2 linked regions of the Caenorhabditis elegans genome follow. The protein of the gene in region 1 purifies or fractionates together with the protein of each later gene. This does not show direct contact. Each region holds a gene or a part of one and is shown on either strand. Other genes may lie near its edges.

Region 1 (5,038 bases):
AGATTACTGCAGAGGTAGGGGTACTGTAGAAGTTCTGTTAAAACCTGGAATCTAATAACAATGAACGAAGTCAACTTAAGGCTGCCGCATTACAAATTTCAGTTGTTGAATAATTTTTTTCAGGGCTATAACTAGGTATATTTTCAGGATAATTTCCTAGATGGCTCCGCTTATTCAACTCGTCGATTTTCCTGATGGATTTGGGAACGAAAATTTATCGTTTACAATTTGGCAACTGTCGACAGGAAATGAATTATTCTTTATCTATTTCCATGGTTTAAAATTCGACATCACATAAAAATATAGAATAACGTAATAGGTTTTAGTGAACGTTTTCTTTTCCAACTAAAGATAACGGCCTGAACCCTCACCATTTCCGGTTTTTGAGCATTTTTTGTATTATAGTTGTTTTTTGCTATTGAACCACACCCTTTAATGGAAGCTACCATAACCTTCCTAAAAAACAAAATAACAAAACTTCGAAAAACATCGAAAATTCCCGCATACCAACTCTTTCCGGACGGACGCTACAGTGTCCACGAAGCGTCCCGCCCCTTTTTTAATGTGGGCTCACTTCTCTGCCTCGAGGAAAGAAACCTGATAAGAGTATGACAACCTATAAGAGTTGATAAGTATCACTCTTTCGGTGATTTTTCCTCTTTCTTTACAATTTCATCACTTTCACTGTTTTTAAGAGAATTTTAAAATAAGTGTCTTGTGATTCAATATTTGACATTTTTAAGAAAGCTTCCGGTCAAATATTTCGGTGCTTGAACAAGCGGTTGTCAGGGAAAATGCTCTGAAATTTTTGAATAATGATTCACTGTTTGATAGGTTCTTGTTCTGTTTTTAATATAGATATAAAATAATGCTAGTTTTAAATTGATAGGAGAGATTGATTGTAGTATTGCACTCCACAGTTCAACTTTGGCAGCTTATATCTCAATTGCCGTCAGTTCTATATAAAAATTGTCAACTGTCAAAATATTTGTTAATTCCTTTTTCCTTTTTACTGTTTTGTAGTTGGTTATTTATTGATATCTTTCAGATGAACTGAGATAATATAACATTTCAAAGTTGAGTAGTCGGGTGCAATATTAATGCACGAAATATGATAAGTCCAATTTATCAAATACCGTGTTTCTTTTTTTTAGAATGCTTTGGTTTTTTATCTATTTTTTTCAAAGTGTAAGATGCTCCTTCTTCTACAAGTCGAAGTTAAATTTTTTTGATATCTGTAAAATAAACCAAAATTTAACCTATCAAAGTGGAGTAGCTTCTACAAGTCTCTAGTCAGCTGGTTTCAGAGATACACCCACTCTCGGTGATAACGCGCGTTTCCACCAATTTCGTATACAAACCAAAAGTTTTCGAAGAAAGTGAAACGTTGTCAACTGATAACGATTCGAGCAGCGCTTTCCACGACTGACGAAATTCGCCGCCCAACTTTTCGTCATCTTTATTAGTTGCTTTTGGGCAATTGTTTCAGTTTTATTAGTTCTTGGGTTTGTGAGTATTTATATTTGAGTTAAACTTCCCTGCCCGGCCTTGGCGCTTGTCTAAAAACTACCTTGCCTTTTTTTACAGTTTCACGTATTCGCAACAATGTAGAGTACCCACGTTTCAGAATTTTTGCAGTATGCTTTTAAGGTTTAATAAAATCCCTAATCAGTAAAGTATTCTCAAATTGTTTTTGAACTTTGGGCATCTATATACCTCGCGGTCATTATTATTAGACGAAATCATTAAAAATAACTTTCAAACCCACTTCCCATCCTAATTAGATCAAATGGTTCAACTTCTATCCTAGTAGAATTTCCCAATTTCCATTCCCAAATCCCCGAAAAAAAATTCAATCTCTACTCTCATCAGCTTCTGCATTTAGAGTGCTGTGTTCTTGTTCTAATGCGGATATCTACACTTTTCCAGCTAATTCTCGTAAACCCTCGTTTCGCAAACTGATAGTGCTCTCCAATTGCTCTCCCAAAATGTCCCAAAAAAAAAGTTTCTTGTAACTTCTTCCGTCTCTCATTATTTTCGGAAAACAACCCTCAATTTTGCAGGCATAGCTCTCAGCAAGTCTCATTTCCGAATGTCGTTTTTGAATAATGATTTCGGCAGTCCGCCGGCAACCAGTTCACCGCCGACTACTATGCCTAAATTACCGACGATTCAAGATATGCTTAACAATATTGGTGCATCCACAGGTACTGTAGATTACTGTAGAGGATTTTAAATGTGCATAGTTTGGTAAATAACCAAAAAACATAGCTACTCCGTAATTACTCAGTCAGAATAAACGAAAAACCGAAACATCACAATTTTATTCTAATAATTCATTCATCATTTTTCAGTAAACCTAATGCAGCCGAACCCCTACCTGATGCAAAACCAGATTCCTCTGCCAGTCCCCAACCTACCCTTGAACCCATTCCTCCATCTGAACCCTGCAATCAGTCAAGAAATAATTCAACAATTCATCGCGATGAGCTTTAACACACCAAATGTATTAGCTAGTATCGCCAACATGGGAGATGATGAAGGACCTTCCTGCAATCCAAAAATGCGACGAGGTGATCTGCTGAAGAGTGTTTCAATGGATAGTACAGAGGATCCACCATCCATAACACTTGATAACAATGGAGACATGATTGTTCCAAATAATGATAAAGAAGGTTGGTATATGAAAGGTCTTGACCCTTTGACCCTTATCTTTTTTCAGGTTGGTGTCGCAACAAGAAGTATATCGAACAGACGGAGAACGGTTACATGTGTACTGTTTGTCGAAAGGTTTATGGTAGATACAACTCGGTGTCTTACCACGTTACCATCTACCATAGGAATCCTCCAATCAAGTAAGTGAGGGAAGGAAAGTTATGCCTCCCATTTAAAGGTGCAGAGCAACAAGCAGCCGACATTGATCGGCGCTTTTCTACTGTCGGCTGCAAGCTTACTGTAAAGTTACAACAGATAATATTAAAGGATCTATCATTTCAGATGCAACGTTCCCAACTGTCAGTTCACAACTCGCGAGGCTCGATACATTCATTTCCACAAGAACTATCGGCACGGAATTCCACTTCCAGAGAGTATCGACCAAGGTATGACGAAGTACATCAAATCTCTTGGATTATAAAGATGAATTCTTGGAAAAATTTAAGAAAATTTGGAAAAATCTGCTTAGCAGTTTTACATAGTAGAAGATCTTCTTATTGAACTTTCAAGAGATTCCAGTAATTTAGAAAACTTCAAAGTACAGTAGTACGTCACCAGTCTCTGCTCTTTTCCTCGAAAAAAACCGAATTCCATTCCATTTTCGTGCAAACCATTCGCTGATAACTCTCGCAAGGAAAACGCTCACTTTCGATTCGATTCTCCCGTTTTTCTGGGAATAATTTGATAAATATTTGATAAAAATCAATCGGTTACAGGTTCTCGAAAATGTCCGCACTGTCGTCACGTGTCAAAGAGTCCGGCGATGCTCGAGAAACATATCAGGAGGCATCAAATCAAGTGAGTTTTTGGACGGGTACACTGGGTCATGGGGTGTCTTATCACTGATAAGGAGAGGGGTGCCGTTCTTTAATACATTCGTGTTAATGTTTCTGGAAATGAATATGAGGGACTGGAACTATTAGATCTAGGGAATGTTGAATTGCAAAATTTTGGGTTTGAAAAATCTAATTGCCTGCCTACTTGCGAAGCATGCCTGAATGCCTACCTACATGGCTACCCACGAGGTATGGTTGTCTGCCAAACGTGCCTGAGTGACTATAAGGCGTACCTGAATGCTTACCTACAAGGCAGACCTAACTTACCAGTAATACTACCTAGGTCTACCTTCCCGTCGCTTGAGGCGAGGCAATCGTAGGTCGCTTAGTAGGCACGAAAGCTGGATTTTCTGAGCACACAATGGAGAACCAATACCTTTAAGAAACATTTTCTAAATTATTTATTTCTTACAGAGATGGCTTATCAAATATCAATGAAGCAATTCGTGAAAGAACCTCTACAATTTGTGATGAAGCCATGGAAATCGAGCCGGCTGAAACCGAAGTTGACCCGATAGAAACCAAGCCACGATCCTGTACTTTGTAATTTAAATTTCCCACCAAAAAATGTTTGATTGTACATATCACATCGCTATATGTATATACTAGTGTGAAGGCATTTTCTCTTTAAAAAATTTACTTTTGGTATTTCATTGTTGAACTTGATTGCTTGTTGTCCACGTCATTTCTGCTGTCTCCAAATATTTTCACCCTTATTTGTCGTTTCGATTAATTTTTTATCAGTTAAGTGGAGGAAGAAGTTGAAAAAAAGAGAATAAGGAATAATAATAATACACAAAAAAGTAGATGTTTTCTCGATGTTTCGAAATTTTTTCTGGTCAATAACTTTCGAAACAGAAAGTTCCGGTAAAACTTGAAAATCTTCAAGAAAACATAATATCACAACAAAAGTATCAATCATTGGGATCATATGGGGTTTGAAAAGATTTCCAAAAAAAGTGGAAACGATTTCTAAAATTATGCTACAAGAGGATCACCCTCAGAATTACAACCATTTGTCATCATCAGCTTCTCGTCCATTGACTCATCTCTCATTGCCAAACATGGATTCGATGCGACCAGAATACTTCGACGTCGGGATCCGTTTGGTTCGGTTACCAGCGCCAAGCTGGAGTCGGCGATTCGTGTGAACTGAAATAAGTCGGTTAGGTGTGTGGCAGTGTTAGATATATATTTTTTGGAATTCGGAATAAGCAGCTGTTTTGAGATAAAATTGACTGGAAATCTTCAAAAATAAGCAAAGTTGGGAGCTGTGATAGATAGTTAAACTAAAAATAAAGTAAAAAATAAAGAAAAATTCCGAGGTTCTGTAGTCACAAAAGGACATTTTTCGGTGACTTGAGTTGTCATGTACGTTTTAAAACAAAACATGAGGCATGAATTTTTGATACGAACAAAGTTATAAAGCTGGAAACTTTTAATTAAACATTTCAAAAAAAAGTTGGGGTGCCACCGTTAGCCTTAAC
Region 2 (4,863 bases), on another chromosome or scaffold:
TGTCAAAGTTCCGGCGCTTGCGTCTGAAACAAAATCGGTTTCAGCAACAATTTGTATGATCCATGCGTTAAAGTTAGTTTCAAACGAAATCCGACAAAATGTGATCTGCGTTGTTTTGAATATGAATCCAAATCATGTGAAGAATTAAGTTTGTCTCAGTTTTCAAATTGTTTATTATTGTTACGAATTTCAGATGTTTAGTTCCTAAGCCGATGAACTTTTTCATTTCAGTGTTCATCTGTCTGGAATATCAACGAAGTTTATTAAAAAGCAACATGATTTGAGAACGTATTCCACATCATTTTTTTTTTGAATTTATGATTTTGTATGTTGAGTGTCTTGCAAAACCTAGACCTCACAAGGGACGGAACAAGTAGTCTCACGGAAGTTATTCTAATTTCGGATTAATGTCAACTAGCGTAATGTCTACTTGCAAATTAAAATGTTAGGTAATGAGATATGATAGTAATATATGTAATAATGGTGGAATATCCAAAAACTCACCCCTGCTGCTCGATCTCCCTCCGGAGAACTAGAATTTTAGTTGCTGCCTCCCCGCGAATGTTATTTTTCGAATGCTCGAACCTTTTGGAAATGCTTTGCCGAATGTTAGAGAAATCCTGAAACATTTTCAATAATCTTCGTGAATTTGGACCTAATGAAAACACATTGACTTTGTTAGCATTTAAAAAAGTTCATATTTTGTGTATTATATGTGACATTTGTACGGGTTTCTACATATTTATCATGGTTTGTGTTTGTTTTTTACGGGAAATTGTGAATATTGAATTTTGCACGTAAAATTATAATCCTAACTTAAAAAAAAACAAATTTATAATGAAAAAAATTTGATCTGATCTTGCGTTAAATCTCAACAAGTGATGATCTCGATCGTTTCAAAAATTGAAGAAAAACCAAAATGGATTAGTTTTCTTTTTTTTGGATTACAGTAGGATTCAGAAAAACTGACTTTTGTTCAGAAAAAGTCATTCAAAAGTGTAAAATTCACAAACAACAAATTAATAAGCTGGTTGTTTTCTATTCTTCTATTCGTTCGCCTGACTTTTCAACTTCAGTTTTGTGTTTTGTTATTTTTTTTTTGCTCTCTAATCTCAAATAATAATCTCGATATCTCTTCTACAAATTAATATAATTATTTTACCTTTTCGTCGATCGGTCTAAAATCGCGATGATTTCTGAGTACTTCTTCGCTATTAGTCAGGGCTTTTTCCATATCCTGAAATATTCTGAATTAAATTTGAAAAGTATTTACAAATCAAAAATCGGATTTAAAGCTTCTCACAAGCTTGAGTAAATGTCAAATTTTGTTACGCCTACCGCATCAGTTTGTTTTTTTGAAAATATGAAATATCACCTTGTCCAGTTGAATTTGTTTCATGATAGTGTCTTCTTTTATACGGTTAATTCCGTCCAAATATTTCCTTTCTAAGGGTTGCCATTCCTCGTCTTTCTCAGTGTTGACCTCTTCCAACGGAAATGTAGGATTTTCGAATTGAGCCTACAATTTTTGTTGCTTGTCTAATTTTTCAGTTCTAATGATTTGTTTTAAAAGAGTACAGCCAATGGGGTAATAATTTTAAACCAGTTTGTGGCGCTGAAATGACCGAATATCATACTAAATCTTCTCAAAAAAATTCTGATAATTTTTTATGTCGGGTCAAAAAGTGAGATTGCACCACTTATCGAGAAATTTGAAATAGTGTCGTTTTTTCAAACCCAAACAGTGTTGGAATATAAAAATTGCAAACACAATAGTTCATAGACCGTAGAACTGAAAGAAACTGGTGTTTAAATGAATGACAACTTCCAAAAAATTTGTGAAAACAGCGATTTCACGATTTTTTGACTTGAATTAAAAATTTGCCAAAATCGTTTGAATCTTTTACTATACTATATGGTTATTTTAGCTCCGTAGTATTAGTGTAAATCCTTTCAACATAGAATAAGCTTCATCTTTCAATTGAAAAATGTCACAAACTATTTCATGTAACTTTAAAAACTTATTCACTCACGAGAATTTCCTCAATTTCGGAGGATTGTTCATCTGTATCATACAACGCAACCAAGTTCATCCGAGAGCCTGAAATGTAAATGTGTTAATTTCTGATCCATTTCATACTTCCGTTTTTTTATTATTTTTGAAACTTCAATTTGTTTAAACTAGAGAGTCTTTTCGCTATATCATAGTCATAAACTTTTGATTCTGTAAAAGACCACCGGATGTGACCTTCACCTTTTCTAAATCTGCATAACTTTTTGATTTTTCATTCTTTGCTTACGTAAAATGTCTTTTCTTTCAAGTAGCACTTCGTGAAGCATCCGGCGACAGGGATTCATTTCGATGCATTTTCTGCAATTTTTTAATATAAGTTTTTACTATTTCAGCGGTAACAAAAAATAATGATCATCACTTCACTAATAGTTCTCTAGGGGTGTAAACTTAATCAGCATCTACTGTTATGATTCATATGTCACATCATTTGTAAGATGACTCGAACTGAAAACTGTCTCACCTATTCCCTGATGTTTTTCTAAAATTTTCTAGGAAGATGACCTGTTTAGATTCACCTCCCGACCCAGTTTATAAGAAATATAAAAATCGGTATCTGAATCAGGTTCTCTCATTTCTATAAATTTTCTTCAATCACAAACTACACTTCTTACGATGCCTAGACGAATCTCTGATCTGGATGTTTTGCAGATCATATGTATTAGTCATTTATATCACTTATGAAAACATTCAAACTATAGAATATCAAACAATCAAGATTTGCCTAAACCCAACTAAATTTTTCTTCTTTTTTGCTTTTTTTCTTAGAAGTTTATTCCTATCTAATACCGTTTAGATGTACATTTTTGAAAAATAGGTCATGCCAACATCTATTAAACAGTGTTCTTTTCATAGAGGTCAATTTATTTTTAAATCCTGTTTTGCTGCTCAAAAGTTTTTTTTTTAACTCACTCAATAAAATTCCTGTCGACGTTTTCACTTGAGACGCTCATTTGGAGCTGCTTAATAAGATTATCCATCTCTCAAAGATCGGTGTGATGCACTCGGTTGTGAACGCAACAACACAGAGCTGTGATGTGTCTAAATACAATTTTGAAAAATCACGAAAAAAAAAAACTAAAATAGGTGGTACGAATTCTGTCTAGGTTTTTTCTTTTCTATTCATCGGTGTAATTTGATAAAAACTGAGTTTAATTTCATCATTTTTTATAGATCATTACTAAGATATGAATTTGAAAAAAAAATCCTGTCAAGTTTACTTGTTAATATGCATAGAAATGTTTTATTTATTATTTTATGTTTTACTAAATGTTACAAAAAAATTTTATACATAAAATTAAAAAATCCAAAAATGTGTTCAATAAATGAAAATAACTGTACAGTAAGACTACCACTAGTAGCTCGTAGATTTGGGTTATTGATATTGTTAGAGCAAACATTATTATTGGATTACTGTCATTTGGGCCGCCTTTTCTGTCGCTCAAATTCATAAGGATAAATGTTGACTTATTACGTGACACCTCTTCCTTTTCCCTTTCTACACAAAAAGAAACCGAACCCAAATTTGTGTCATAGCAAACACTTCACTAATCTCATTAGATGATTTTAATTGTCATATATTACGAAATCAGGAAAAATTGGAAAATTTCAAAGAGAAAACGATATGGAAAGCGACGGAAAAAATAATTGAACAACCACGTTCAACTGATAAAAGAACGGTTCTAGTGGTTTTTTCTTCCATGCTCAAGTGCACCATGTACACTGATAACACCATTCCCCAAATGTTGCGATTTCTTTTCAATTACATGCCAATCACCGAAACTCAATTTAAGTATTGCATTTGGATAGTTTTTTTGTTGCATATCTACCTGATGTTTCAAAACTTGTGTATAAAAACTAGATAATACAATGAAAGTACAACAGCACACAAGGTACCCATGGGAATCCGAAATCGTAGTAGAACTTTGATTGTGTAGTAAAATGCCAAACCATTACACTTGTTCTTTCTCTTGGCTTATTACTCAACGGTAAATATCATCAAGGATTATGTTTTCACAACTGAAAAACATGCGAGCACATTTTTTATATTTTGTAATATATCATACACTTGCTCATGTTTTTATGACTATCAGTTAAATGGATCAGCTAGCTGAAGTGAGGATAATACCATTAGTTTTGCAAGGCCACTATTTGATCGTCTTGAACTTTACAGTAGTTAGTTATGACTCCATCAGATGCTTCACATAAAACAAACAATTATTTCTTCAATTTTACATTTGTGTTCAAAATATTCTTATTTTAACACTGTAAGTAGTTAAACAATAATTAACCCTTTTTTATCTCAAAAAAATTCAAAAGTATTTTGAGAAGTTTTATCAAGACATTTAGTCTTTTCAGCACTATAAAAATGGTTATTAATCTTTTTTTGCATGTTGTCAACTTTTAAAAGTCATACAACTTAAAACGGAACAACACTCGTTGTTATAAATTACTATGTCGCTAAAACAGAAATTTCCACTAATTACAGATGTTGTTGAGCTAGTATTCAGTTCAAATTGTTTTTATGAATTACTAATTATTGTTGTTATAATTCAGTTTAAAATAAAGGGAAAAATAAAAACGTTTGAACAATCAAAAAATAAATCAAGTGATTGCTCGAGAGAAATACACGCGAGAACTCGTTTTTTTTAGAATTTCAGAAGCTGAGAATTTTTGTTTGCAAAATTATTCTATCGTTTCGCGTATACAAGTCGTCTTATTACTATTTTTGTTTTTGGTTTTTTCGTACAGATTTGTACGTCTGTAAAAAATCAATTTTACACAAAAGCCCC

What was found. Proteins that work in one complex are often made in the same cells at the same time.
Region 2: the proteins of pqm-1 (region 1) and ceh-60 purify together in Caenorhabditis elegans (affinity purification with western blotting; one study listed by BioGRID). This does not show direct contact.

What each region holds. Positions count from the first base shown.
Region 1 is NC_003280.10:11,149,619-11,154,656, reverse strand, and holds pqm-1 (Zinc finger transcription factor pqm-1), read left to right. Parts: upstream 1-2,061; 5' UTR 2,062-2,092; coding exon 2,093-2,207; intron 2,208-2,354; coding exon 2,355-2,675; intron 2,676-2,722; coding exon 2,723-2,855; intron 2,856-2,997; coding exon 2,998-3,101; intron 3,102-3,431; coding exon 3,432-3,513; intron 3,514-3,965; coding exon 3,966-4,098; 3' UTR 4,099-4,266; downstream 4,267-5,038. Other genes in the region: arrd-6 (Arrestin C-terminal-like domain-containing protein), read right to left, coding at 4,530-4,703. UniProt on the Caenorhabditis elegans protein: Zinc finger transcription factor which acts as both a transcriptional activator and repressor. Binds to the promoters of genes that contain the 5'-CTTATCA-3' DNA consensus sequence in their regulatory region.
Region 2 is NC_003284.9:6,527,035-6,531,897, forward strand, and holds the start of ceh-60 (Homeobox protein ceh-60), read right to left. Parts: upstream 3,113-4,863; 5' UTR 3,052-3,112; coding exon 2,984-3,051; intron 2,372-2,983; coding exon 2,301-2,371; intron 2,102-2,300; coding exon 2,034-2,101; intron 1,520-2,033; coding exon 1,376-1,519; intron 1,238-1,375; coding exon 1,163-1,237; intron 621-1,162; coding exon 505-620; intron 24-504; coding exon 1-23. UniProt on the Caenorhabditis elegans protein: Probable transcription regulator which binds to DNA, repressing genes involved in longevity and stress, while activating genes involved in reproduction, such as the vitellogenins.